Linked DNA regions of Tamandua tetradactyla. The protein of the gene in region 1 interacts with the protein of each later gene in a pairwise test. Links are inferred from orthologs where the notes say so. Each region holds a gene or a part of one and is shown in the gene's direction. Other genes may lie near its edges.

What was found. The genes of interacting proteins can lie anywhere in the genome.
Region 2: the proteins of NCK2 (region 1) and LZTS2 interact in binary tests that used the Homo sapiens proteins (3 or more experiments, as listed by UniProt). The two-hybrid records come from large-scale screens. The link is inferred for Tamandua tetradactyla from reciprocal best matches to the Homo sapiens genes NCK2 and LZTS2.
Region 3: the proteins of NCK2 (region 1) and CPSF6 interact in binary tests that used the Homo sapiens proteins (3 or more experiments, as listed by UniProt). The two-hybrid records come from large-scale screens. The link is inferred for Tamandua tetradactyla from reciprocal best matches to the Homo sapiens genes NCK2 and CPSF6.

The regions. Positions count from the first base shown.
Region 1 is NC_135343.1:70,553,463-70,562,931, forward strand, and holds the start of NCK2 (cytoplasmic protein NCK2), read left to right. Parts: upstream 1-5,640; 5' UTR 5,641-5,739; intron 5,740-7,551; exon of another isoform or gene 7,552-7,602; intron 7,603-7,982; exon of another isoform or gene 7,983-8,053; intron 8,054-8,599; exon of another isoform or gene 8,600-9,469. UniProt on the Homo sapiens protein: Adapter protein which associates with tyrosine-phosphorylated growth factor receptors or their cellular substrates. Maintains low levels of EIF2S1 phosphorylation by promoting its dephosphorylation by PP1.
Region 2 is NC_135339.1:62,549,686-62,559,462, forward strand, and holds the start of LZTS2 (leucine zipper putative tumor suppressor 2), read left to right. Parts: upstream 1-4,972; 5' UTR 4,973-5,129; exon of another isoform or gene 5,130-5,537; intron 5,538-5,802; exon of another isoform or gene 5,803-6,424; intron 6,425-6,525; exon of another isoform or gene 6,526-6,568; intron 6,569-7,164; exon of another isoform or gene 7,165-7,318; intron 7,319-7,705; exon of another isoform or gene 7,706-7,815; intron 7,816-7,979; exon of another isoform or gene 7,980-8,106; intron 8,107-9,777. Other genes in the region: TWNK (twinkle mtDNA helicase), read left to right, coding at 546-687, 1,582-1,902. UniProt on the Homo sapiens protein: Negative regulator of katanin-mediated microtubule severing and release from the centrosome. Required for central spindle formation and the completion of cytokinesis.
Region 3 is NC_135333.1:137,453,075-137,462,601, forward strand, and holds the start of CPSF6 (cleavage and polyadenylation specificity factor subunit 6), read left to right. Parts: upstream 1-4,722; 5' UTR 4,723-4,797; coding exon 4,798-4,857; intron 4,858-9,527. UniProt on the Homo sapiens protein: Component of the cleavage factor Im (CFIm) complex that functions as an activator of the pre-mRNA 3'-end cleavage and polyadenylation processing required for the maturation of pre-mRNA into functional mRNAs.

The DNA.
Region 1 (9,469 bases):
TGCCAGCCAAGGAATCAGGACAGCCTCCTACAGGTGGGAACGCAGGTCTGCTGATGTGGTGATTTTAGTCCAGCAAGGCCTGGGTCAGACTTCTGACCTGCAGAATTACAAGACAATAAACTGTGGGGTTTAAGCCACTTTGCAATCATCTGTTGGTGTGGCAATGAGAAAAGTAATATGCCATCAATCTGGTTCTGAATGCACACTGAGGTGAGCTGTGTGCTTTTGCTCTAGCCAGAGTCCACGTTTGTGAAGGCTCAAGTCACATCTTACAGGTCCCCGCCCCTCCATTGCCCCTTGGCCTGTGAACACAGCTGGGACTGGTGCAAATACTTGCTGATGAACCGGAAGCTTTTAATAAAATTGGAGTGCGATGTGGCAGAGTTAGAAACTCTTTACGAAAATGATTTAGGGCAGGCCATGCTGGCTCAGCAGGTAAGAGTGCTTGCCTGCCATGCCTGAGGACCCGGGTTCAATTCCCGGTGCCTGCCCATGTTAAAAATAAATAAAGAAAGAAAGAAAGTGATTTAATAGGAGATTAAAATAAGTGCAATTTATTCATGGTGGTAGGACTTCTCAAGACCTTGTAAGCCATGATTTACATATCCATAGGAGAGATCATTGGAAAAACTTTACACAACCACTTATTAATTTTGTGACCTTAGGAAAGTTATCGAAGCTTTATTGATGACCATGCCTACTTCACTGGGTTGTGAGGATTAGATAATGTGCTTGGTAAATGGTAAAGAATGCAATGAATGATAGCTTTGAATAATTACAATGTTAATAATAACTTACAATAGCACATCATTAAAAATATTTGCATTTTTAAAAGCCATTTGTTTCAGTTTGCTAAAGATGCAGGATGCAATATACAAAAAATGGATTGGCTACTACAAAGGGGATTCATGAAGCGACAAGTTACAATTCTGAGGTAATGAAAATGTCCAAATTAAGGCATCGACAAAAGCATACCTTCACACAGAAAAGGTTAATCTCGTCTGGGGTTCCTCTGCCACATCGGAAGGCACAGGACGGTGTCTGTTGGCCCTATGCTCCTGTGTTGCTTTCAGCTCTTGGTTCCAGTGGCCTCCTCTCTGAGCTTTTCTTTGTCTCCAAACATCTCTGAACATCTGTCCCCTGGTTTCTTCTTTCTCCTCTCTGTGTCTGAACTTTCTGCAAAATGTTCCCCTCCGAAAGGACTCCAGTAAGTTAATAAGACCCACCTTGAATGGGTGGACTCACATTTCCATGGAAACAACCTAATCAAGAGATCTCATCCAAACAGTGGTCCTGCCCCCATGAGACTGGATTAGGATGAAAAGAACACGGCGTTCCTGGGGTGCATAACAGTTTCAAACCAGCACACCAACATTCTTAAATCAATTTGTATCCTGCACCATTCCTTCAGGAAACCATTATTAACTTGCCAACTTTGAGAAGTGAGCAAGGAGATCTGCGGGAATCCAAAGAAGTCACCCTTGCCCTTGGTCAGTGTGTCCCCTTTCTACACCCTATGGACACAGATGACCCCAAATCAAGGCATTTTTGGATGAGTGCCTTAGCAGAGCGGTGACAAATGCACACATCTTCTAGGAAGGAGTTTACTGGTGACAAATGCACACATCTTCTAGGAAGGAGTTTACTGAAAGATGAAGGGAGGGTGCTGTTTGAATATCAGCAGGTATCAAATTGCACAGGATTATTCTGCAAACACAGATTTCCAGTTTAAAAGTCTCCATCAGACTCCCAGAAGAAGAGGGCTGTCCCCACCAGGGTACCTCAAACAGCACCGTGAAGGTGTGCCAGCCAACCTCTCTAAAACATACTTTCCTTCTAACGTATTTGTTCTTTAATGAAGAATGTGATTAATAAAAGCAACAAACTATTCACCAATACCCCAGTTGAGAACTGCTTTATATTTTAGAAGTCTTCCCTTTTAAATATGCATATAAAACATTAAAGCATTAAATAACTAGACTTTAATAACTGGAAACCTTATTAACTGAAATCTCTCTACTCAGCACTCCACTATTGGAAGAAAGTAGCAGATGCGGGAAAACAACTGTATTAGGTTTTTAAAAAGTCATTCTAGCACGTGGCTCCAATTTAGTTTAGTTTCCACGCAATCTTCAATGTGCTTAATCCTGTAAAATGAGATTGCATGTTCAGAATGATGGCCCTTAGGCCTTATAAGGCATCCAAACATCAAAATAAAATAAAATAAAAAAAGACATTTCATTTACTGTACTGTGCTTTCTATGGTGAGATATCAGCTTGTGGTATTTTAGGAAAAAATTTCAACTTGTTTTTGAGCTAAAGGGCCTTTCTGGTTAAACCTTAACAGAAATGAAAATTTAATTTAAGGGAACAGCTCCTTCCTGAGGCATTTGGATTAATTGAGGGTTTATTGTATCTAACAAATATTTCAGATGTGATATTCGCCTAAAGGTAGATTTCAAAATGGAAATTCGAGTAAAATCCTCTTAGCTTTTCTGAAGTTGTAGGAGCACTCTCAAAATTAGTCCACTCTAAAATTACTTTTGCCCTGCTGCTAATTAAAATAATTTAAAGTTTGATTTTTTATTTTTCAGTACAAGCAGTCCTCAAGTTTAAAAGTTACGTTGTGCGTGTCTATCAACAATCTGTGTTTCTTGACAAAATGCACAGAGAGATCAGTTAGTATTTCAGTACACTTTTATTCCTATAATTCTTTTGCCCATAATTGCACTTGACTTTATAGTGTATTATTTTATCTTTTTCATTTATTTAAACAATAAGATGAGCACACCCATTTCCTGAAGTACAGATCATAATTCCAGACCTGGAAAGAGTAGATTTATATACAGACTGGCCCTTTGTGGTAGCTGTTGTTTTGAGATGGATGAACTTTTAATGTGTAATTATGGGCTTTTTGGATTTCATTCTTCCAGAAACTGAGAGATGGGTTCCATGGGTTTCTAGCTTGCCTCCTCTTTGGTCTGAAGAGACGGTGAGAAGGTGCTTTGTATTTTGGGTAAGAAATCTTCATTTTATCTGAAGACTCAATGTTTCCGCCCCTTCTCTCTAAGCTAATGTAAATAAAATGAAATACTGAAACCTGCCAGTCCACCAGTATTCGTTCTGAAATTGTTTTATGGGTTCATGAAGTCTTGTAGGTCTCTTCACTATTGTTTGAAGTTCTGTCCCCTTTGGTGAGCTCGTAAAAAAATGTGGACTTTCCATTCATCATCAAAGTTTATTAAGTCTCTGCTAGGCACTCTGTAGAGGAAAAGGTGCTGGGGTTCTGAATGGAAAACTCTGACTTGTTCCCTGCCTGCAGGGTGTTTATCTCAACACTAAGATAGATGATGCAATTAAAGAACACTAAGGCTCATTACTCCAGTGGGAAATTATAACACTAATGGTTTCTTTTCTAGTAAAAAGTCACTTGAGGGCAGGGACTGTGCCTTGCTCACTTGCATACCTCCAGAAGAAACTCTGCTTGTAGTCAGTTGGCTATAAATATTCATTAAATATAACTGTACAAAAACAAAACCATTAATCCCTCACCAACCCGTTTCCCCAACTTTTCTATTGCTGATTTTGGCCCTGTTATACATATGCACTACCTATATCCAAAGCCTAATGTTAGGTTTGATGCCTTTTTCCTCTGTCCTCTCTGCCTGGCCATCTGTCAATCTCTTTTGAGCTTTTCATCCCAGGCTCTTGTAAACCATTTTCTCTTCTGTTCATCCTACCCTAGTCTGGGTTCCTACCTCTCTGAGAAATGCAAACTTCTGTTTGTCCTGCATCTGGGCATTCCTCCTTCAACCTCTTTGGTGTACCCACCACATGAGTTTTCCTGAAACAAAGCTGAGGTGATGCCCACACCCACACTTTATCTCCTGGGACTTCACCTCATGAGCATCCTCTCCTCCATGTAAGGAAACTGGGCCATTGTCTGATCCCATCAAACCCTCCAACATTCTCCTTTCTGTCCTCATGGGTCTCTACCCCCTTTCTTAGGAATTTCCTCCTTATCTGTCTCCATCTTTCAAAATTGTACAGGTTGCTTAGTCAGAGGTTTTGATTGCAAGCAAGAGAAAGTGCTTCTGGCTACCCTAAGCAGAATGAAAATTTACTGGAATCATATCAAAGAGCTGCTAGGGCAGCTGGGGCTGCAAGGAAGCAGGCTGGGAACTAAGCAGGCTGGCTACCCTCGAAGGAAGTGCTGGGACTTCGAGGCCAGAGCAAATCGAGTTTCACCCTTCTCCCTCTTTGTCACACTCAAGTTTCAGAGGCCTGAGTGGGAGGGTTCAAAGGAGCCCTGCCTTCCTCTCATTCAGATGGGGGTCTCCCTAAAACAAGGAAGGGACTCAGATGTAGGGTAGCTGGTTATGGCAGTCTGCTACTGTGTTGTCTTTCAAGGTCCATTTCTAATGTCACCACCTTTTGAAAGCCTCTCCTGATTCTCTCATTTTGTTCAATACTTTTCAAATTTAGCTTTACGTTGTAGTTGTTTGTATATTGTGCCTTATCCTTCCTCTGAGATTAAAAGCTCAATTTATCTGTTTCTCCCGAATTGCCTCTTTTAACGCCTTACAAATAGAAATGTACTAGGAAGGTTTAATTGAATTGAGGGTCAAGACAGAAGGGCACAGAAAGGCAGATATGAGGGGTTGCCAGGTGTCGAAGCACACAGAAGAGGTATTTTTCCTATTAGCTCACGTAATCCACACAATTCTTGTAGTCGTACTACTATTATGTGAGGCTCAGAATGCTTAAATGACTTGTCCAAGTCACAGGGCTGTAAGCAGGCCTTGGACCTGGGAGGAGAATTCAGAAGTTTTATCTAGTCCAAGGAGGGCTTAGAGGAGGCGGGTCCAGAACTTCCGGGAACACCTTAAATAGGTGAGGAGTGAGGCAGGGAGCTCCTGGCTACTCTGCACTCTAGAAGGTAGAAATTGGTGTGACTAAATGGGGGACAGCGGAGAGCCCAGGGGGACTGAACCAAATCGCTTATATTGGGGCTGAACCAAGAAACTAGATTGTTCCAGCAGGACTAGGTCATAGAGGCCTGTGAAAGATAAATAGCAGGACTTGATGCTGATGTGTTTTGGGGGAAAAGGCTTATTACACTTTCGGCCCTTTCAATATTTTGTTAGTGAGGATATTTTAATAGAAAAACAAACCTGGATGTACTGATGGAGGTCAATGCAGAAATGGGTAGATATTTTTGGATACAACTCAGGCTTCAAAGAAATGTCTCAGCCACCTTGGGCCTTGTAATGGGTTGCATGGAAACCCCCCAAAAGATGGGTCTACCTAGAACCTGAGAATGTGGCACCAGGTTTTGGAGTCCAGTATGTGCAGGTTCTGATTCCAGTTCTGTGGCTTGCTGTTTCATTTTTCTTGTCTGTAAAATGGGGAAGACAATTTTGTGTTTGAATTAAAGACGACAAATGTAAAATATTCAATACATGAACATTTTGCTTATCAATAATTCCAAAATTAGGACGGTAGCATTGAAAGTAGAAAGGTGTGGCCAAAGTGATGCTTAAGAATCAACATGACTCAGAGTCATGGGAGTGGAGATGGCAAGGGATCTTCACGTGATCTCGGCAATCCCCTCACTTTCTGCAGGTAGAGCAGAACTAGAGGAAGGACAGGTTTCTACCCTGGGGGCCGAGAGAAGGTGGTGGAAGAAAGGATTGGTGTGGCAAGGAGGCCAAGTTCATCCTGGATGATCTCGAGGAGGTGAGTTGCTGGCCACAGGGAGGGTCTCATGAGCAGGTGAAACCAGAGACGGGCGTAAAGGCGAGGTCAGGGCTAAGGGTCTCTCTAGGGCTACAGATCTGGGAGCTAGTCCTGGCAAATCCAGACCAGAAGCATTCACAAAATGATTAGCTCTCTGGAAAAAAGGCACCTGACAGAATAAGAACATAAAGCCAAAATCTGTGTCGGGAATATGGCCACCGTCAGAAGCTGGGAAGACAAAACACCCAACAAGGATACAGAGGAATGTAAGAGAATGGGAATCAGACGTGTTAGATGAATGAAAAGATGGCTGAGTTTCATGAAATAGCAGAAAGGCCACCTGCTTGGAAAACAACCTTGGATAAAGACCTACAGGCTGCTGGGTTTGTAGATAATGTCCCGGGTGCCTTGAGCCAGAGTCTGGGGAGGAAAAGGAGGCTTTGGATGATGTTCAAAGATACATGATTCAGTGAAAGTTTACCAAGCTAACAAGCTAAAAACTGGGTCAACACTGTTAAACCTATTTCAAGTAAACTAATTTAAAACTGGGGCAGACCACTGAGTAGATTTCTGCTTTCCATTTTGTAAAGCAAGTTGTTAGTAAAGCAAAGTTTTCAGGAAAGGATGGACTGAGGGGCTACCTTCCAAGGTTATGAAAACAGAATGTTTCCCTTCTCTCATCTCCCAATCGACGTGGTCCACCCTGCTACCAGACGTTGCTAATGAGGTGTGCCCCAACATCGCAAAGGATGCAGGTAAACATATCTCCTCACTTCAGGAAGAAACTGAGGCTTAGAAAAATTAAGAGACATTCAGTTGTCTGACTTCAAAGTATACAGACTCTAGTTATCCATCCTTGGGGACTTTCTTGCCAGGACAAGACAGGGGATGAGGGAGTCAAATAATACTGCCTGGTCTCCTGGAATAAATTATTGCTGCCTTGATAGTCATGGAGAAGCCAGGAGCCTCAGGGTCACTCTCTAACATGGCTGCAGGCTATCCCGCTAGGATATCAGAATCATTTGAATATTAGGGTTTCCCTTTGGGAATCCATATGGGAAGGAGGTGGGAGAACAGGCATCTGGTGCATGTGTCATCCTTTCCCTTTCCTTGTGGGATTTCATCTTCCACGTTTGTTTAGAGAGGTGAGGCCCAACTCGCAGCTGGGCTGGGGAACCGGTCCCCCCACGCGTGAAAACTCCTCCCGGCGCCCACGTTCACGCAGCAACTCCCCGGATTCTGCTACCCGCTCGAGCAGGCGAAGGTGCAGGGGTGGCCGCGGAGGGTGGGTTTCCTCTCCTGCCCTCAGGAAGTGCCCCCAGCAGGGACGCGGGAGCAAAAAGAAAAAAACAAAAAACAAAAACCAAAAAAAAAAAAAAAAAAACTTGTCTGGTTGGGAAAGTAAATAGATGTAAGGCAAAGATATAAAAATACCCAAGAGCAATTACAAGGAGGAAGTGACATTTTAAAGTCACTTTCCTGATGGACAACAGGCCTGCCTTCCTGCGAGTGCCGTGGGAATGTTTTCGGGAAGGGGACGGGGGCCAAACGGCGAGAGCGTCACGATAAAATCAAACAGAGCAGGGACGGGCGCGACCCCCCTCCGGGCCCTCGGCGCTGGCAGCCACTGCCCTTATTTTCACTCCCCAGTTCCCACCCGCCTCGCCCCCCGGGCGAGCCCTCTCCCGCGGCAGGGACGCGTCCCCCCTCCGCACCGGCGGCCAGCTGTCGCCGAGCACCCGCGCGGGCCGCCCAGGCTGACAGTTCCCTCCCCGCCCCCCCCGATCCCCGGCCGCGCACCTCGCGCAGCGCCGCCCGCCGGGCCCGGGAGCCCCAGCCTGGGGCGAGGCCCGGCGCCCCCAGGTGGGTCTCGGCCGCCTCCGCCCCGCGCGCCCGGGGCCTGCGGCGGCGTCACGGCGCGGCCGGGGGAGGAGCGGCGGGAGGCGGCGGCGAGGGGCGGGCCGGGGAGGAGGAAGCGGAGCGGGGGAGGGGGCTGGGCGCCGGGGGAGGGGCCGCCGCCGCCGGGGTGGTGGCGCCGGGAGCCGCGGCGGCCAGCGGGGCGGCGGAGCGGCCGGAGAGAGGGGCGGCCGGGCCTGGGCGCGGCGGGGCCGAGGCGGCGGCGGCGGCGAAGGCTGAGCGGCGGCCCCGGGCCCCGGGCGCGGTCGGCCCCGCCGCGGGAGCGGGCGAGCGGCCGCGGGCGGCGGGAGGAGGGGAGCGGCGCAGACAAAGAGCGGCGCCGCCCGGGCCGGGGAGCGCGGCCGCCGCCGGGACCCCCGCGCGCCGGCGTCTCCCTCACGCTCGGCCCCCGCCGGAGGTAAGCGCGCCTGGGACGGGCCCGGGGCGCGGGGGGCGCGGGGGGCGCCGCGGCCGCCGCAAACTTGTGGCTATTCGGCGGAGTTGGGAGCGCGGCGGGGGCTGGCGGGGCGGGGCCGCGCTGGGGCTGGGGCTCGGGGGGACCGGGCGCCTGGCTGCTGCCCACCGGGTCCCCCTCGGCTCGGCCGCGGGCGGGCTGGGCTGGGCTCGGCACTTTCCAACTCCGCACCCTCCTGCCCGCCTTCCCCGGCCCGGCCCCCTGCCCCGACCCCCTGGGGGACCGGGGCCGCCCCGCGGAGGGTCTGGGCGGGGGCGCGGCCGGCCGAGGCGTCGGGGACGGGGCTAAGTGCCCCGGGCAGCGGGTCCCGGGGAGCCGGGCAAGCCCCGGGTGAGCAGAGGGTGCCGGCTCCTGAGCCGGCCGCGGGGACGGAGCCCGGGCTTCGGCGTGGGAGCGAGTCCTCCTCCCCGCGGGTCAGCCCGGGAGCCAGGATGGGGGGGGTGGTCGCGGCTGCCGGGCGGCGCGTGTCCTCCGCGCGAGTTAATAGCCCAGATCTCGGGGCCCGGCGCCGAGGCCGTGCGAGGCCGCGCTTTGCCCGGGAACTTACAGGCTTTATTGGAACTGTTTATGAATCGCCCCTCAAAGCTGCTGTCACGCCGCATCAGGGAGGTCCTCGCCTCCGCGAAGGGCGCTTGGGTGCCGGCTCCCAGCCTCCGTGTCCTGTCCCAGATTCACATGACTCTGTTGCAGCCACCTGAGCCAAAGTTTCCCACAATAGCTTCGCTCCCTCGGTTTATTCAGGGCGATGAAACTCCGAAATGGTTCTGGAAGAATTGGCTGTGTGACTTTTAAGGCACTGCCTCCACCCTCCCCTGCACGCGCGGTTGGCGTGTTGTTGTGTGGAGCGGTTTAGTTTGCACAGCGTAGAGGGTAAAGATCGCCTTGGAAAGGTCTGCGTGGGATCCTGGGGTCACTGGCAGGTGACCATCAGACGTCGGAATTAAAACAGGCGTTTTAACAACTCCGGGGACAAAGCAGTAATGTGTGTGGAGTCTGCCTCCGCCACTTCGGGCAATTAATTTTGGCGGTTTCCCCTTTATTGGGCTTTGTTTATCTTGCCAACAGGTTTAAGTCTCATGCAGCCAACGTTGCCTCTCATCCTTTGGCTTCTGAGTAATGGGATGAGCCAGCCCTGCTGCCCTGCAACATAATCCTTCTGGCTCTTTCCATTGACCCACAAGGAAACTGACGCCCAGCGAGGCTTACTCAGGACCCACAGGTCTCGAGCCCTGCCTGGTCCCAGCGCAGTGGCGGTGGTCTCAGGACGGATTGTGTGTGGGGTTTGGTGCCGCCGTTTGTGATGTAGTTGTCAGCAGTGCTTTTCAAGCCTTAAAAGTGACTGAAAATGAGATGAACCTG
Region 2 (9,777 bases), on another chromosome or scaffold:
AGTTTATCATGGGCTACCATTCCATCATCTCAGATTATTCCTTCTAGCTGCTCCAAAACACTGGGGGCTAGAAGGAATATTAATATAGTGATTCAGCAGCCATACTCATTCGTTAAATCCCATTTTCTCTGTTATACCTCCCCTATCTCCTTTAATCCCTCTCCCAATCTATAGGGATCTTTGGGGAATGCTTGTTCTAACTTTTTCATGTTCAGAAAGGGTGTCCACACTAAAGGATAGGGTGATGTAATTAATTGATAATCCTGGAGAGGCTGGTTCCTCTTGGTTTCCAGATTTATCTGATCTAGGAACCCTCCGGGAATTATATGTTCCAGAAATCTAGTGCATGAAACCTTTATAGAGTCTCAGTTTGAGCCCTAGGTGTTCTTAACAGTCAACAGAGTGATGTGAATTGGGGTTTAGCAAACCATGGCCATTAGGACTGCCTAACTGAAGCTTCTGTAAGAGCAGCCTCCAGAACAGCCTCTTGATTCCATCTGATCTCTCCTCTTGTCCAGTAACTTTTTTTGCTTTTTTGGGAGCAGGATTGCAGCTCAAGACTATGTCATTGGGGCCTTTCGGAAGTTTGCTACAGACAATAATTGCCACGTGACACTGGTCATACACCCCCGGAAGGAGGATGATGACAAGGAACTGCAGACAGCATCCATTTTTGGCTCGGCCAAAGTGAGTGATCTTTGGAGAGAACCAAACTTTGGTGAACAGAGTGGTCAAGTATGACCAGGGATAGCCCACAGTCAGCCTTAAATAACCTCGTTGACTATCCATTTAACAGATGGGACCGACATTAGGAATATATATGTACTCAAATACAAAAGCTGATAATAATAGTGTGTCGTTCTTCTACTCCAGCTCACATCCTCTAGTGAGGAAAAGAATAAGGTGATGATTACAACTCAATACCAATAAGTGCTGTGATAGTCAGCACACATATTTGGAGAACAAAAAGACATCTGAGTCTGCCTGGGACATCTGGGGAGACTTCTCAGAGGAGGTGTCACTGAAGTTTTGGTTGAATTTTGATGGACAGTAAATGTTAGATAATTAAAGAAATGGGCATTCTGGGCAGCAGGACCAGGGTGATTGTGGAACTTTCTGTGGATACTGAGTGCCTGTTATATGCCAGGCCTGGGTGGGGCACAGGGAATACAGGGCGAGGAGCACAAATTACATGCCACAATGGAACAAACAAGTTGCTGGGGAGAAGAAAAATGCAGCAGTCGAAAAATGGTGGCACTTTCTTCATTTAGGGTAGTAGTAGAAGAATGGTCTCAGATGAAGCATGGGACATTTAAAACAAGACCTGAATGACGAGGAGATGCCGGGGTTGGGTGGGGTGGCTGGCTATGGAGAAGAAGGGTTATAAGCAGAGGAAAACATCAGGTACAAAGTCTTTAGCCCACAGTGAACTCCTTGTCAAAGAACTGAAAAGATTAGAGTAGTCCTAGCATGTAGGTCAATAGTTCAGAAAGCTGTGGTAATTTCTGCCTCTCTCATATGTCTTTTCACCCCTTCCTTCTTTCTTCTGCTCCCTGCACCCCCCTCCCCGCCAACCTCCAGGCAAGCCAGGAAGCAGACAATGTTCTAATCCTGCAGGACAGGAAGCTGGTAACTGGACCAGGGAAGCGGTATCTGCAGGTGTCCAAGAACCGCTTTGATGGAGATGTAGGTGTCTTTCCACTTGAGTTTAACAAGAGCTCCCTCACCTTCTCCATCCCACCAAAGAGCAAGGTCCGGCTCAAGAAGATCAAGGATGACAATGGGCTAGTGGCCAAAAAGCCTTCGTCTGGCAAAAAGGGGGCTGTGCCCCAGAACTCTGAGGCTGGCCCGGGTCAGGCCTCCAACCCCTATCAGCCAGACACCCCCCAGCCTTCTAGGTGAAGGGTGTACAAAGCTGGACACTAAAGTGAGCCTGATGGGACAAGTTGGAACATAGACTCTTTCTTGGCCCTCTGTGAGGGCTGCCTCTGTGCTGTGGTCCTGAAGCTATGGGCTCCTCTCAGTCTCAAGGGCCTAGGCTAGGGCAGGATTCCATAGGAAGAGCGTTCAATTCTGCAGACTTTGCTTTAGGTCGTGGGAATACATCACTGAGCAAGACAGATGTGGTCCTATTCTGTAGAACCTGCATTCTGGTGCAGGAGCTAAGATAAACAATGAATAAAAGAACAGAGAACATAATTTTAGATAATGGAAATGCTATAAAGAAAATTTAAAAAACAGCTATGTGATAAAGAATGTTCACAGGCTAGTTTCAGTTAAGTGATCTGAAAAGACCTCTGAGCAGAGGACACTTGAGTTGGGGTCTGAAGAACGGGAAGGAGCAAGTCATGTGAATACCTAGAGGAAGCAGGCTCCAGATAGAAGGAAGAAGAAATACAAAGGCCCTGGGTTGGGAATGAGCAAATTGAGTTCAAGAAAGTGGTGTCAGGCCCCTCATCTTGGAGGGGATTAAGAGGCTCCTTGATGCAGCTCCCGCCTAGGCTTTCAGAGCTGAAGCATGATATGGTAGGTACTAGGCCCCCCCCGTTCCCCACTTTGTGGGGCTGTCATGAGCTGGCATTAGCTAGAATTGGCATCCTAGGTCCTTGGCCCTGGACTATCAGGACCCAACAGGTAGGAGCTACCTCCCCTGGATTGCTTGGCAGCAGCCATGAACCCAAAGAGCCTGCCACCTGGGCACTAATTCCAGGTAAGCTGCTTTAGACAAACAGTAGTGCTGGAGTGGATGCAGTTATGACTTTTTATAAAGCCTTTTCCAATTTTACTGAAAAAGAATGTTTTTCACTGCCTTTGTTTCTGTGCTTTTTTTTTTTTCTGTCCACCAGGTGTCCCCAGTGTATAACTGGACTCACACTTTGAATTGGGAGTGGAGGGGAGGGGATCTCCTTCCCCACTCCTGGCCTTTGAGTTGTGGGCTCCCAAGGGAGAAGGGGCATTGAAAGACCCTCACCCCTACCCATATAGCTCTTCTGGGCCTAGGGAAGACAAGTGTGTCCTTATCCCTAACTCCTTGAGGAACTCCATGTTGTTCGTAGCAGAGGAGTGGGTCTCTGGGCTACTCAGACCCTGTCTGGTCAGCTGTTCTCTGTGATGTGAGGCACTCGCTGACCACCTTCAGTGTTCACTTAGACCCAGCATATTCTTATCTTGCCGTCATTTCCCTATTCCTTGTACCCTCTTGGTGTTTTTCTTATGTTAGTGTGCATCAGTACTCCTGGGGATCTTGTTAAAAATTCAGAACCCAGGCCCACACGCCCCACACCCTCACTTCCTGCTACACATACATTTCTAATTCCAGAGGTTTGGGGAGGGGTTTAAGAACCCTCATTTTTAACAAGCCCTGCAGGAAATTGCAAACAGGTGAACTGAGATCCTGTCAGAAATATTCCTAAATGATGACATTTTCCTGTCTCACTTTCTGTATCCAGTTTCTCTTTAGAGTTGCCCATTTGTTTTTGAAAGCGTGGGGGAGAATGCAAGATGTTCAGAGGGGGCTGGGGAGAAGCCTTTTATTTAGGTGGGAGAAAGGTTTCCTGCTCTCTGGAGGCAGGGCTGCCATGTAAAGTTCTCCCTGTCAGCTTAAGAGCGTGCTCCTGGGACTCCATGGAAGGCCTGAGGTCTCTGGTCTATAGTGTGTGACAGCTGTGGCCAGATACCTCTCCTGAAACAGACTCCAGAGCAAAGCTGCTGCAAAGCTGTTCTCTGTGGGGCAAAACTTGGGAGGTAGCTCCTCCAGGGCCTCCCTTCTTGGGGGTCTCTCTCCCAGACTGGCTGGAGCCAGGCCTCCCTAATCCTGCAGTAATCATTCCCAGCCGCTGGCTGGCCCAGGCCTCATCCAAACTCAAACACTGGATGTCAGCTATGCCTGCCAGATGCTCAGAACTCCAGGTCAGTCCTACCTACAAAGACAGAGGTTTCACATCCTGGTCCCCCTTGAACACATGGTGTGTTTTCAGGAAATCCTTCAGGAGTTTCCAGTGGGCTAGTGGGAATTCGGGCTAGAGGGGCTCTCTGCATCCTGTGTAAGGTCCCTGGGAGTCACTGTCTACACACCCATTCAAAGTACATTAAGGCATATTACCTGGGATAGGGCTGGACTCTGTCTACCTCCAAGTGAATGCTAAGAATCTCCCCGATTGCTCAAGAATGGCCTGGTCAAGCAGGGTCCAGGTGGATCTGCAGCTTTGTCCTCAGATTACAGTGTCTGTATGTGTCACACTTGGCTGGGAGGAGGGGTCTCCACGGTGAGGGAACAGTTTTGGTCCTCCAGCAGCTTACTCTCAAATGTAGATGAGTTTGAGAATGGACTACACTCACCAGTCTCCTGCAGCCCAACTACTCAGGTTGTAAATATAGCCCAGATTCCTGCAGACATTATAGTCTATGCCTTCCCATCCGCTGCTTTGGGTGTATGGAGAGAGGGAGCACTTAGTGCCTCCCTAAGATAAAGGCCAACTTCCTGTTTGTGCCTGTGGGTGGGACTTTATGAGTCTAAGGGAAGCTTGGCCATGCCCTGTGGAGGCTAGAACTGGCAGACCTCACCTGGGCAGGCACCTACTTCGGGGAAGGGGGTGGTGCTCTGTTCTGCTTGGGCAGCCCCAAGGGGGGAGGGGGGCTGTTTTTGGTGAAACCCGAGCTTTCTTTGTCTGCTTCTCAGGGATTTTCCTGTGTTTGGGGAGTGGGCTGAGAGTAGACCCTGTTGGGCTCTCTAAGGAGAGGGGTGGGGTGGCAGACTCAAGTCCCATAATCAGCGTTGTTAGGACAGCCAGGTCGTTTAGCTCTCCATCACGTGCTGTTCGCCCCTTCCCCAGGTCAAAGCCAAGTCCAGGTTGCCGGTGAAGTCAGAGACCTAAAGGGCAAACTCGAGGCACTGCCCAACTACAGGGTCGGCTGTAGAAGGGGTGCTGGGCAGACCACTCCCCTCCCTGAGTCAGGGGCGCGGCCTCCACCGCTCCGCCCCGCTCCACCCGGCCCGGCCAGGAGGGCGAAGGGAGCCGGGAGCCGGGAGTCCAGAACAGGCTTGGGAGCCGGCGGGTCGGCCGCGAGGAGGTGCCCGCGCTGGAGCTGGCGCGGGGCCGGAGCTGGAGCTGCGGCGCAGCTGGCGTTTGGTGAGTGGTGGGGGAATACCCGCCTCCCACACCCCGCTCCGGAGCGAACTTTCCCCGTCTGGGAAGCTGGAGATAGGGGCGGAGTGGGGTCCTCCTCCTGTGGGACGCAGGAGAGGGAGTCTGAATAGGAGGCGACGCAGATACTCACACTGGCGGGCCCACACACGTGTGCACACCGATCCCCGCACGTACTTGGGACACACGAACACACGTGCACTCAAGAACGGATGCAGCCAGTGGGTTACCCTTGCAGTTGCAGGGGCACGCCACCGGCCCGCGCGGACCCCCGGCGGGCAGGGCACTCTGCTGTCGCGTACTTGGCGGGGGTAGGGGGAAGAGGCCGCCCCGTGACCGCCGACGGGGGCGGGTCGGGTGGGACGCATCCGGAGGTTCCTGCTTCCCGGCCGCCTGCAGGTGAAGACTAAGACGTAAACAGGCGCCGAGCACGTGATCGCGGCGCAGCCTAGTGGCTGTGCTTCCCCCACCCCCGCCGAAGGCCCGGGACCGCCTCTTTCAGTTCGGGGCGAGTCTGCAAGGTCCCACTCGGGGCTGTATTCCATTCTACGCCTCGAACCTGGAGCAATGATAAGCCTTTCCCTAGAAAAGGGACACATCGCCCCCTGGAGGCAGGGTGGCTCGGAGGACCGGGAACGTAGGGCTGGGATGGGGTTACCTGGGCTCCTCGCCCTCCCTCCCCAGGACACGTTCGTGGTGTCTCATCCCTGAAGGTATCGGAGGGGGCCTTCGCCTTGATGGCCGTCCCTTCCCTCCAGCCCAGGGAGCAGCTGTCTGAGCATCTGTGGATCACCTTCCTACCAACCCACCGCCCTCTTGCAGGACTGGGAGCTCCTCCCCGCGATGTAGAACAGAATGCCCGCCCCTGTAAGATTGGAAGTCCCCACCCCCGCCCAGTGAACGCAGGAGTGTAAACACCCCTCAATACCACCGTTTTAGTAGAAGGGAGGATGAGCGCCAGCCTCCAGCCCGGGGAATGAGGGAGTGGGCAGCGGCTTTATACCCCCTCCCCCCTCCACGCGCACACGCTGAGCCCAACTGCTGCCTGAGTTTCTGCGCCGGCTGCCGGGAAGGGGCGGAGGCTCTAAATGTCCCGGGAGGCTGGGATCAGGGCAAGGCCAGAAGAGGTGGTCTCCAGTGGGGAGAGAGCCTCCGTCTGGTTCTTGCGTGGCTGAGGGTCTGGGGTGAGCCTGAGGGTGGCTGGGCTGTGTTTCCCTTTCCAGGGAAAAAGAAAGAAAAACAACCCTTTCCATAAAGCTAAAAATAGAATTGAGAGCCCGGCCAGGGCTGTGGCCTGCGGCGCGATGGGGGGGGGGGGGGGTGCTCCTTCCTGGGGCGGAGCGAGCCCTAGCTAGGCCTTGGCGCTGGGGGGCGGGGAGGGGACTGTCCTTGCCCAGGGTGCGGACATCAGCTGACCTGACCAGGTCGTAGAGACCCCTATGGGAAAGTCCGTGTGGAAGGATATGTTTGTGAAACATGATGTGTATGTGTGAGAAGCTGTGAGAGCAACTGTGAGTGCCTGTCAATGTGTGGAAGATGCTTGGGACACCAAATGTATTTGTGACTGGGCGTGAAGACTGTGCCAAACAAGATGTGTGACACTGTGTCTGTGTGTGAGTTGGCCTGAAAGATTACTGGGAGAAGGAACATGAGACGGAATGATGGATGAGACAGTGTGTGGGTGTTAAAAAGATTGTGTTTATTTGCGAGAGGCTGAGAGTATTTGTGACCCTGGGAAAGACTGGAATGTGGTCTCCTGTGAGGATGGTGTAGGTTTGGACTGTAGGTTTGGAACGGGTCGCCCCAGTAACTGTGTGTGTGTGGGGGGGGGGGGGCAAGGGCCGCCTCTTTTCAAGCTTCTTGGCTCCGAAAGAAGGCTGGAAAGCACGGAGTCTCGCCGGGCGCAGATCTGGGCTGGGGCGGGAGAGGGCAGTTCTGGAGAGAGAGATGGGGGCCCGCACGGCGGGTGGAGGGGGCTGGGTGTGTTCTCCCAACCAGCCGCCAGGTGGCGTCGCTTCCCCCAATCCAAGTGTACCGCCCTCAACCCGCTGGGGGTGGGGCAGGCACGGACCGAGCCTCGCCCCCAGACTGGTGCCGGGGCATAGGGCCTCGACAGCAGGAAGGGGGTTTGCAGCGGACCCTCGACCTCCCCGTCTGGACTCTGAAGCAGGAGAGTGTGTCTTGGGGAGAGGCTTCGACTAGAGAAGCGAATGGGGGCGGGGTGGCCGCCGTCACGCCTGGCCCTTTGTGCTGGAACAATGACCAGCTGCCGCCGGTCCTGGGGCCCTAGCGTGGGGAGAGAGTGACCCGCCGCTGCCGAGTCCTGAGCCCACCGAACCCCCAGGACCATAGACACCAAGCCTCAGAGGGAGGGATCCTGATTCCCGCTGTGCTGCTCCTGCGTGTGCCCCGTTGGACACGCGTGACGTGGGGGTGCTTGCGCGTGTCGGCGTCTGGGGGCGGGGCCGCCCGTCGGACCCCTCCCCCGCGCTGCCCCGCCCACTCGGCCCGGGCGCCGGCTGGCCCCGCGGGTGGGGGGGCGCCGCGGAGGAGGGGCCGGGGCCGGGTCGGGCCCGGCCGCCCGACTGGCCGTGCGCGGGCTGGAGCCGCGCTGCGCGCTGGTGGAGCGCTGGGGGCGGCCCGGGGCTGAGCATGGAGCAGCGCGGCGGAGGTGAGGGGGGGCCGGGGCTGGGAGGTGAGAGGAGGCGCCCCGAACTTCTCCGCGGTGGAGGTCCAGTGGGGAGCCAGCATTCCACAGCTGCCCCTACTTTATGGAAGCCAGGGGAGGGGACGGGGAAGGGACGGGGAAGGGAGGGCTTTGGGGACTGTTGAGGGTGGGTTGGGGGCGCCCGGTTTCCAGTCGCCGGATGGGAACTCGTGATCCCAGACTTGATACCGCTTGGCTGGTCTCTGGAGTTTGGGTCGGGGGAGACCTTCCCCAACTCTTCAGCCCCCAAGTCAGGTCTGTGGGAGCCGGGACCTCTTTGGGCTTGGTTGAACCCCAGCCCACTGAAGGGGGGTCCCTAGGCCAGAGCGATTACTCAGGGAACGCTGGAAAGGTGGGGAGGACCGGGGGTTCCCTTTCCCCACAGCCACAAACGCATTTCTCAAAATGGAGCCTCGGTTTGCCCCTCCTTCTCTCTCCGCCCCAAGAGCGGGAGCCGGTGGCCTGGCCTGGCTTTCCAGATGCCTGGCTCTCCTGAGCGTCCAGTTCCCAGGGTCTGGCTTTAGGTCCCTCTGGGTTCCGGACCCCACAACTCCGTGGGGTTCAGGGGCCCTGGCTCACAGGGTCTGCCTGTCTCCTTGTCTGCCTGACCCTACCAGCCTCTCTAAGTCTTTGTCTCTTGTGTTTTGGGCCCCTGTGTTTCTCTTTAGTTTTCACTTTCTCAGTGCTCACCAAAGTGGGGAGATGCAGACAGAGGTACCAGCCCCCAAGGCCCCCTAAGACCCCTCTTGCTCACTGTTCTCTCCATGCCCTGGAGTGGCCCTGAAGAGGGAGCAGAGTTGAAGGAGGGAGGGTTCTAAGGGCCTTGCCCAGGGCCAGGACTTGTGGGGTGGTCTCAGCCCTGGGCACTGCAGAGAGGCCTAAGGCTCTTCCCTGGGTCCTGCTCGCCCCCTACCCCCAGCTTCCAGCTCCTCCCCCCTGACTGGACACTCTCCTGGCTCTCAGTGTCTTTTGACTTGGTTGTGGGGGGGAGTTAACTTAATGGAGAAAGAAAGGAACAGATCAGGTAGAGTCAGATAATATGCCTCTCCTCTCCCTGCTCTTCAGTCAGGGGAGAAAAGCAGGCTGCCATTCACCAGTTGGCTCTGCATGCCACCCATGCTCCTTTCCACACATGGTCACAGTCACATACACTTGTACATACTTACTTCCCTAGTCATGCATATACTCGTGTAACCTATACACAAGTTAACATATTAACTCTGTGTTTACAGATATATACTGATATATCTGTCCAAACATATTCTCTCATATATTCACACTCATATGCCACAAATTCATTTAAACGTATGCATTCATAACTTTCTCATACTTTCTTAATAGGCACTTCGTATCTACACACATACCTTTTTGTAAGATATTAATTCACACATATGCTCACGTATATATGAATGTACTGATACATCTATCCAAACATATATATATCACACACACACACTCATCTATGATGTTTTCACACACATTTCCACTTGTATATACATACACAGCGCTCCATTTTATGCTCCTGTGTCAAACACGCACACACCTACTCCCACACAATTCCCTGTCCATTTCTTGGCCACTGCTTTGCATGATGACTTCAGCAGATGCCTAAGGCCTGGTCATCAGCCTCGGGATTGGGGAGGGAGTTCCGGGTGGAGGCTACTGTCCTTTTCCAGGAAGGAGCAGGGTCTGGAGAGGTGGAGCCGTCTTCCCCAGGCTCCAGGGAAGTAAGATCTTGGAACAGCTGCCAGAGGTGATGGTGGGGCGTTTGGTTTGGAAGGAAGTGTTGAAGGAGGGGTTTTGCCTTCATCCCATAAGGGTTACTCTGGGCAACCATCTATAGCTGGAAGGTTTCCTAGAGGTTGTCAGTGGGGCAGGGGCTATGTAGACTTCTTTAGGCGTGGCTGGCTGGGTATGGGGAGGCTT
Region 3 (9,527 bases), on another chromosome or scaffold:
CAAGATGATTAGCAAAACATTTAAAAATTTTGTTTATTTCATCCTTTAAAACTTTATATTTATATGCATATTTATGGTGTATGTTAATATAAAATGAATTCATATAGTGACATTAAATTGTGTGTGTGTGTGTGTGTGTGTATATATATATATACACATACATGTACTGTGGCTACCTGTTTTTAAATGTTATACTGATGAGGTGAGTATTTTTAAAGGTTTGGAGAGCACAGGGCTAAATTACGGTCTCAAGTGCATTGGAAGCCTAGTCATGTTCCTACAGAGATGATGATATTAAGTGACTGATTTGGAATAAGTCAGAATGATTGCTAGTATTAAATATTTATAGCCTTTGTTTATGCATTGCCAATCTAACAGGTAAAATGTATTAGATATCCTTTGGGGTGTTTGCCTAGCTCAATGCAACATTTTTTCTCTGAGAATTCTCCACCCTTTCCTAACTTACAGGATGAAATTTGTCAGTCATGTTTTTACAGTGTAACCCGCCCCCTCAGACAGACTTGGTTGGACTGAGAGTAGATTTCTAGCAAAAAAAAAAAAATCTAATCAGCTGCTTTCTCTTTAGAGTTTTGTAACTGAAACTAAGACAATTAACCATTTTTCTTGAGCAGTAATTATCTGAACCCTGGAGTTGATTGTTGCATAGCCATGTGTATGGAAAAAGAGAGAAAGCTCTTCTGTTCAGGGAAGAAACGGATGTACAGAAAAAACATTATCTACCTCCCTTATAACTTCTTGGTTTCCCTTATTTAATTGTGATTTTACGTTTATGTACTTAAACCCCACATGTCTGTATTATTACTGTTTTACACAATCTTTATTCAGAGTTACCAACATACTTAACATTTTCACTGCTCTTTATTGCTTTCTGTATCTCAAATTTTCGATCTGGGATCAAATTCTTTCTATCCAAAAAATATCTTTTAAATTTCCTTGTGTACCAGTGGTAAAATTCTCATAGTTTCTGCATATCTTATTTTGCTTTCATTCATTTTTTTTTAACATTTTTTTACTGTGAAAGATAACATATATACAAAAAAGCAATAAATTTCCAAGTACATTTTAACAAGTAGTTGTAGAACAGATTTTAAAATTTGGTACGGGTTATAGTTCCATAATTTTTTTTTTTCTTCTAGCTTCTCCAAGATACTGGAGACCAACAGAAACATCAATATAATGATTCAGCAGTTATACTCATTTGTTAAATCCTATCTTCTCTGTTATGCTCCTCCTCTTCTTTAAATAACATATAAACATAAAAGCAATAAATTTCAAAGTATATCACAACAATTAATTTTAGAACAGATTTCAGAGTTTGGTATGGGTTACAACTCCACCCTTTTTGGTTTTTATTTCTAGCTGCTCCAAGGTACTGGAGGCCAATAGAAATATCAGTATAATGATTCAGCACTCAGACTCACTTGTTGAACCCAACCTTCTCTGTATAACTCCACCATCACCTTTGATCTTTTTCCCACTCTTTACGGGCATTTGGGCCATGCCCATTCTAACTTTTTCATGTTGGAAGGAGCTGTTGATAATATGGGACAGGGGGATGAAACTTTGCTCTCATTCCTGAAGGATATTCTTCCTGAGTATAGAATTCTAGGTGGCAGTTTATATTCTTTCAATTCATTTAAAAGTCATTCCACTGCTACAAGCAATCTACTGCTTCTTTGAAGAGAATCAGTCCCTTTTCTCTGGCTGCTTTTACGATTTTTCTCTTGGATTTGAGTTTTCTATTTTTTCTCTATGATGTGTTTAGGTGTATATTTTTAAGTTTATGGTGCTTGGGATTCACTGGACTTCTTGTCTAATATTGTCTGATATTTTTCATGATATTTGGAAAATTCTCAGTTATTATCTCTTCAAATATTGCTTCTAACCCTCTCTTCTCTTCTTCTACAACTCCAATTAAATGCATGTTAGATCTCCTCTCTCTAGCCACTATTTCTCCTCTCATATTTTCCATCCTTGGTTTCCTCATGCTTCATTTTGGATACCTTTTTTTTTTTCCTGATCTATCTTCTGTATCACTAATTCTGTCTCCCAGCTGTCAAAAGCATAGCTCAGCCTCTCATTCATCTTTATGCATCTGCAAATTCTCCCCTTCTCTTACCAGGGCAAAAGAAGTTTGAATGTATAGACCCTATTCTCTTCTACTTCTTGGCCAGGAAATTCCACACTCACTCTCATTAACTTTCTGATGATTTAAAAATTATGTTATAGTGTACTTCCTCACTCAACAATGTTCAAAAACTAAAACATTACCATAGATTAAAAGAAAAAATTCTTAATAATAACCTAATCTACCACTTATTGAGCACCTTCTACAACATGCTAGTCTCTTTATTAAATTTCTTGTAGTCATCATTGTACTTAGATGAAAAAAAATCAATGCTCCTTCAAAGAGCATTGATGAGTCTTAGGACTTTACTACTTAACGTAAAGAAAAGTAGGCTTTACTACTGATTAGCCAATTGACTATAAACAAGTCCTTTACCTCAATACCGTCATAAAGGGCTGGGTGGATAATTTTAAAAGTTCCCCTACTTCTGAAATTCTATGACTCAGGTCTACCTAGAATTGAAAGCCAAAGGTATCCTTGGGAGTTGAATGTTGTAGAGGAACTTTCTTCCAGCCCACCTGTATTAGTTTGCTAGCGTGGTAACAAATAACCACTTTATTGGCTTAAAACAATGAAAATTTATTATCTTACAGTTCTAGATGCCAGAAGTCCAAAGTCTGGCCTTGACCAAGATTTTGGCAGGTCTGTGTTCCTTCTGGAGAATCTAGGGAAGAGTCCATTCCTTGTTATTTTGGTTTACTAAAGCTGTGGAATGCAATAGACCAGATGGGCTGGCTTTTAACAATGGGGCATTATTAGCTTACAAATTTATAGTTCTAAGGCCATGAAAATGTCCCAGTTAAAGTATCAACATATAAGAATAACCCCCAGGATAACCTCTCAGCTCTGTTTGAAATCTCTCAGCCATTGAAACATTGCCTCATTTAGCTCTTCCCCCTTTTGGTCAAGAAGGCTTTCTCAATTGCTTGATGCCAGGTTTTGGCTCACCCCAGGAGTTCTGTCCCACCTTGCCAGGAAAATTTATACCCCTGGGAGTCATGTCCCACATAGGAGGGAGGACACTGAGTTCACCTGCCGAGTTGGCTTACAAAGGGTGGCTGCATCTGAGCAACAAAAGAGGTTCTCTGGGTGTGACTTTTAGGCCTGATTTTAAGTAGGCTTAACCTATCCTTTTGCAGGAATAAGTTTTATAGGGGTGACCCCTAGATCAGCCTATTGATTTGGTTGTCCCCACTGTTTGCAAGAATATAAAATTCTCCAAATGGGGAGGTTGATCTCAAAATCATTAACCACACCCGCAAAGTTCCTTTTGTCACATAATGTAACATACTCACAAGTTCTGGGTATTAGGGCATGGACATATTGGGTCGTCATCATTCTTCCTACCATTCTAAAAATTGCTCTTACCCTTTATGTTGGGTGATTTTTTCTTCTATAAAGACTACTCAAAGTCAGAAAGGAAATCAGTATTTCTCAATGGTAGGCACTTTTTGCCTTTTATCTCCCTTAAGGTACCATCAGCCATCTGAGGTAGATTTTATTACCCCAATTTTAAAGATTATGAGACAGAAGATGAGAGAGATTCAGTAACTTGACCAAGGTCATCAAGTTCATAGAATGTCTGAGCAGAATTTTGTACTCAACCAAAACCCATGGGCAGATGTTGGCTTGGCTTAGTACTTTAAGATTTCTGGCTAGTCCTTATCTTAGGAAACATTCTAATTTGGAGGTTTTAAAAATGGGTTAAAAGTAGGGGGAAGTTTTCAAACTGGAGAAATACCTTTAAATGAAGTATCCGTGGCAACACGGTTAGATTGCTTAGGTTCTATTAGGTCTCCAGCTCCTGCCAAATGAGATGTTTGGACCTGATCACACACCATTCAGTTCCTTTCCCGTTTGGACATTCGATGTTTCTAAGAGATAATCTCTTTACCTTAAGATTTCTCCACCTTACTGGATGTTTGTCCTACGATAATTGCATTCAAGCTACAGGTATCTGAACTACCAGTGAAAGCCAACAGCAGATCAAATAAGAAAAAATGAGAATGAAAGAAGATAAGTGATGAGAGATTGAGAGGGACACAAAGAGAATAGCATGCAAATGACTAAACACAACCACAAACGGGCTTCTAGCATTTACGATGGAAATGGAACTCTGCCGTTCTTTGAAGGTAAAGGAAAACGACATTATTCCTGCTCTCAAGGCGCTTAAAGAATGACCGAGGGGTTACACTGTACCTAATCGTGGACAACTTCTACCTCTCTAGACGTCCTGGCTGTGAGAAATAGAAGGAAAATTAAGAAACAAAAATACATATTTTAAAACAACAAAAAAACCCCACTACGTTTGAGTGTGCCAGAGGCAATGTAAAAACACGGCCTCTGGAAACAACTGGGATGCACAGGAAAGCTAGGTGCGCGAGTAAGAAAAGGGACTTGTTCCCCCTCCCCCGCGGGCCTAAGCCAGACACACAAAAGAAACCGCTTTTGCCCTCAGCGGCAAATAGCATCTTTTCAGCCAGCGGAGCCGCTAGGCTGCAGAGGCGACCGCCACCCCCGGGCGCCCCCGCCTCCGCCTCTCGGCCTCGGAAGTGACGTTAGGGCGCCCCGCCCCCGCCGCTAGATCCGCTGCTGCTGCCGAGGCGGGCAGACCTGCAGGAGGCGGCGGCGGCAGAGCCCAAAGGAAGATGGCGGACGGTGTGGACCATATAGACATTTATGCGGATGTGGGCGAAGAGTTCAACCAGGTACGTGAGGGCCCCGGCCGGTACCGCCGAAGTGGGCGGCACTGCGGCCCGGACGCTGACCCGGGGCCGGAGGCGGGCCGCGAGGCCGCGCGGCTGCAGACCGTGCGCCCTTGCCGCCTGTGGGCCCCTCCTCCGGCTCCGGTGCCCCCCTCGCCCCTCGTTCTACCGCGTCGATTCGCGGGCCGCGTAGCTGCGGGGCACGGACGCAGGCCTCCGTCGGTGCAGCCGCCACCGACCCCTCCCTCGCCGCCGCTTTGCTCCTTATTGTAGGCGGCGGCCGGCAGGCGCTTCTCTCCGCGCTAGGCCCGGGCGGCGGGGCCGCGTGTGCGCGGCGGGCAGAAAGGGCCGCCGCCGCATCCCCTCCCCCTCGGGGCCCGAGAAGGAAGCCTCGGAGGGGCTCGCGCCGGCTGCCGTCTCTTTCCCGGCGCTGCCGTCCGGGCTCCGATTCCTCCTGTCGCTCCATTTTGTTTCCTTGTCCACGCACTGTCGCCTCATGGAAGGCCGCGTTCACGGCCCTTTGTATCCCGCGCGCCCCGCTTCCCGGGCGCTCTTGCTTGCGTTTGCGACAGGTTTCGGCGTGGCGCCTTCCTCCTCCTTCCCTGACCGGGAGAAGGCGTGTTAAATGTGAGCATCTTTGCAACAAGTGTTTTGACTTTAGAACCCACGAATTGTATTTAAAAGTCGGTACGCTGGCTGGCCTCGTTAATCGAGGGCTTTGCAGTGCCTTTGCGGCCCAGTCTCTCTTGATCTTTGTGATACAAATTCCTGTGAAGATAGGTGGCCTGGGCGAAAAGCAGTTCTTGGAAGCGCGATGGTAGGATGCAACAAAAAGATCCATGGTATTTTCACTTAGAGATCAGGTGTAGAGGCGTGTTTAAGAATAAAGAACGGACATTCACCCGAAATTCTTAAATTTGAAAATAAAGAATTTTAGATATGCTGTATTTGAAAGCAAGATGTTAAATTACTCGGAGGGATCCACTTTATATTTTGAGAGGTTAGAGAAAGTGAGAAAGCAAGATTTGTTCTGGTATCAGGTCACAGTTGCCTAGAACTTGGTGTCTGATGATAAGCATCCTTGTAGAAGATCTTGTTTAACCAAGTTAATGACGTTTAAGCCCTAAAGCCTATGTTCACAACTTTGCTGCATTTTATGTGACACCTAATAGCACTGTTTTTTATATTTTCCAGGTTCGAACGAGAAGCTTAATAAAATTTTGGTTAATGTTTGGGTTTTTTTTCCCTTCATTAAGGATTTTATTTGCGGTAGGAGGTCAAGATATTTTAAAATACGAAAACTCCAGAAATCTTACATTCCTTTTTTCAAGAATGTGTGGCTCAAATATTAGAAGAGGAAAAAAAAATCTTAATTAGCTTTTAAATATTTCCTACTCCCTTCAGAACTGCAAATGTTTAACTGTAACCCATTGTCATTAAATGTTGAGTTTAAAAATTCTTGTGTTTTAAATTCACTTATATTTTGCTTGTATGATACTTGAATTGTGTCGATGAGAACTTAGAAAGTTTCCTTGAGTGCTACACAGCATCGGGTTCTAATGCTTTTAATTTCCATAGATAAAGGCTTCTAGGAAATTTCTTTTATGTATTTATCAGATGAGTAGAGCGCTCTGACCAAAAGAAGCCACACCTGTGAATAAAGGGACAATTAAATGTTCAAGATTGTCTTCCTTACTTTTTCCTACAAAAGAATATATTGGTTTGCGTTTCTACCCACAATAAAGGAAGAATTAGGGCGAACTTTAGAGATTAAGCTTTCTTGATTACCTCTTTATGAAATGTTTTTAGACTTCTACATACTTAATTTTGGAGGGACATCTCCTATATCCACATAGGTGGTTGGAGTGATATTTTTTTGTTATCTCTGTGCATTAAGGCTTGAGTGAGCAGGAGGTAAGAGATTAAAATTTTGTGAATTCGATGAACTATTTTGTAAGGTTCTTTTAGAATGTCACTTGACTTATATCTGGGTCATTATATCTCATAAATAGTTGTGTGATTTTGCCCCCTAAAATTGTTAATGTCTTTGAATGGATTAATGGCGGGAGGCATTACAGTTTTATTAAATACAGGCTTTGTTTTTGTTATTTTGCATATCATTGGCCTCTAATCTGCTTGCTGTGGTAATTCCCTATTTTAAAAATGGCTGCAAAAGGATAATTGGTCATTTTCAAGGTTCATCCTGTTTTTAAAAAATGCTAGTATCATTGAAAAATTTTTTTTTAAGAGACAACTGTGAAGTTATTGCTGACTAATTTAGTTTTGCCCTCTATTAGATGATCTTATTTCTACTGGTTGCTATACTAAACTATAAGATTTTGAATAAGAAGTAATTGAGTACATTATTTTACTATGTTAAGTCAGTCGACTTAAATTTTTGACTTTTAAACTGCGTATGTAACTTGAAATGCTTCGTGGTTTGTGTATTTTCTGTTTTTTACTTCTTTAAATGGTGGTAGTTTATGAAGCTTTTAAAAATTATTTTGGTAAAGCACAGTATTGGTCTATCTGAAGTTGTGTGTGAGGCATTCTTTTGTCTTAGAAGAAACTAACTTGTTTGGGGATGGAGTGAAAACAAGAAAGTGAAACTGCAGTAGAGTTCCTTTCTTCACCTGGTGAATTTAAGAATGGAAAAGAAAGCTAGAGGAGGTGAGAAGGCACAAGGGAATTGGCTATCTTATTCTTTGTGGAGGCCCTTTAGTTCTTAAACTGAAGGTTTTTGGATGTCACCAAATTGAGAACAGAAGAAAGCTGTTCTGTCTCAGTCTCTATAGTGTTTTAATTCAGTTTGAACTGTCATTTATACTTAGTGTAGTAAGTATTAGCCTAGTATGTAGTAATTACAGACTTTAATTTTATTTTTATTTACTAAATTATAATAATTTTTAAAGCGCAATTGTTCAAAATCTATTTCTTGAGTGTTTGTTATATACCTGCAGTTAGAGATAGGAAAATTAGATAGTCTCTGCCCTCAGAGTGCATTGGGGTGCACTCTGGGTTGAGAGATAACCTACAAAATTATAACATTCAGACAGATGCAGTAATGTAGATACCACTGTTTTATGTATAGCTTTATCTGTAGAATTTTTGTTGGGGGGAAAAGGAAAGTAAAAAATTGTCTGAGTGCAAGGAGAGCTTATACTGTGTGCATTGAATTGCGTTTTTTACTTGTTTGGGGATAAAAAGCTCTTAGTGTAGAGTTTAGCTTCTGGTATCAGGCAATAGGTTCCTGATAGCAGTGCCAATTTAGTAATCTAACCACCCAGCTTTTAAGTGAAGATTATAGGGAGTGGCCAGGAAAAGATTTACCTAGAAGTTAGAGACCTAGACATCCCTATAAGACAACCTGTCTTTATTTCGTGAGTCATCATGTTTTATATTTATTATATCCAGTTGTTTGGTCAGTTATGGAAAATGCATTTTGTTGGACAAATATTAATGAACCTTTTTCTGTTAATTTTAGTAGAAAACAATGTAGTTAGGATTGAGAATAAGGTAGTAGAGATTGATACAGGAATGTTTAGGGGAGCTTAGAACTCTTCTCACTCTGCTTTATTATTTATGAATGCAGTTAATACAGCTGCCTATGAATTTTCGGGTTTGTCTGGCATATTTTTAGGATAAAATTGGCTTTCTCACTATTAAACTGTTTAGAGGAATTACTAATTTTAATATCTGCTCAGAACAGTATTGGATAAAAATCAGAAAATGAAATATTCTCAAAAAATAAACATTAATTATTTGCTTTTGGATTTTGCATGCTTATGTTTCTCTTCCTTGGTTTAGAATACATTTTGTGTATGCAAAATGTGGTTTTCCACCCTGCATATTTCTCTAAACGGGAATGACTACACTATTTTTCTTTCTGTCTGTCTTTTTTTGAGAGGCTTTGAAACAAGTGATCTTTGTTGTATCATTAGTGGTAGCATCGTATAATGCAGAAAAGGCATTAACTGCCACTTTTGGGTCACCAAAAGCAGTTTTAGGCCTGTCTGAGAGAATGAAGGGTACTTGGAAAGCTATATCATGGTCATTCCAATAACAGTATATAGTGTATCTGTGATACTTTAAAGTTCCTATAGAGTTGGATTGTGGTGTTTAGGTGGAGAGGGATGTTTAAAAAGACTTCTTGGGTGGGGAGGATGATGAAGAGAAAAGGTTGAAAAATCTTCCCCTGGAAGGAACAAAGAATTTTGATCATTTCACTGCCCATGCCATTTTCAAGTGCTTTCCCTTTGACTTGGCAACACCTTGTATATCATGTAGAATGTAATCTTGTGCTGTAAACCTTGCCTTTAGGATGATTGCAGTGATTTAAAATGGTGGGAAATTAAAAATGTTACTTAATGGGTTTATGAACAAACCTTCAGAGCTGTTGCTTGCTGGAAGTCATATATAAAGTGCAGCTTATAGGTGATCGGCTACTATGCAAAGATTTGGCAACATTTGGTATCTAAAATAATTAGAAGGGTAAAGATATTTTTTTGATTTTGAAAGCTTTAAACATTTCTAAAGGTAATTGAAAAAATCCTTAACATAGGAGAATTTGACAGTGTTGATTGACCTTTTCTCTTTGAAAAGGTAGAAACCATTTTTTTGTTCTGTAGAATTTCAGAACTCTATGTGATCTGTGATATATAATACATTTGCAT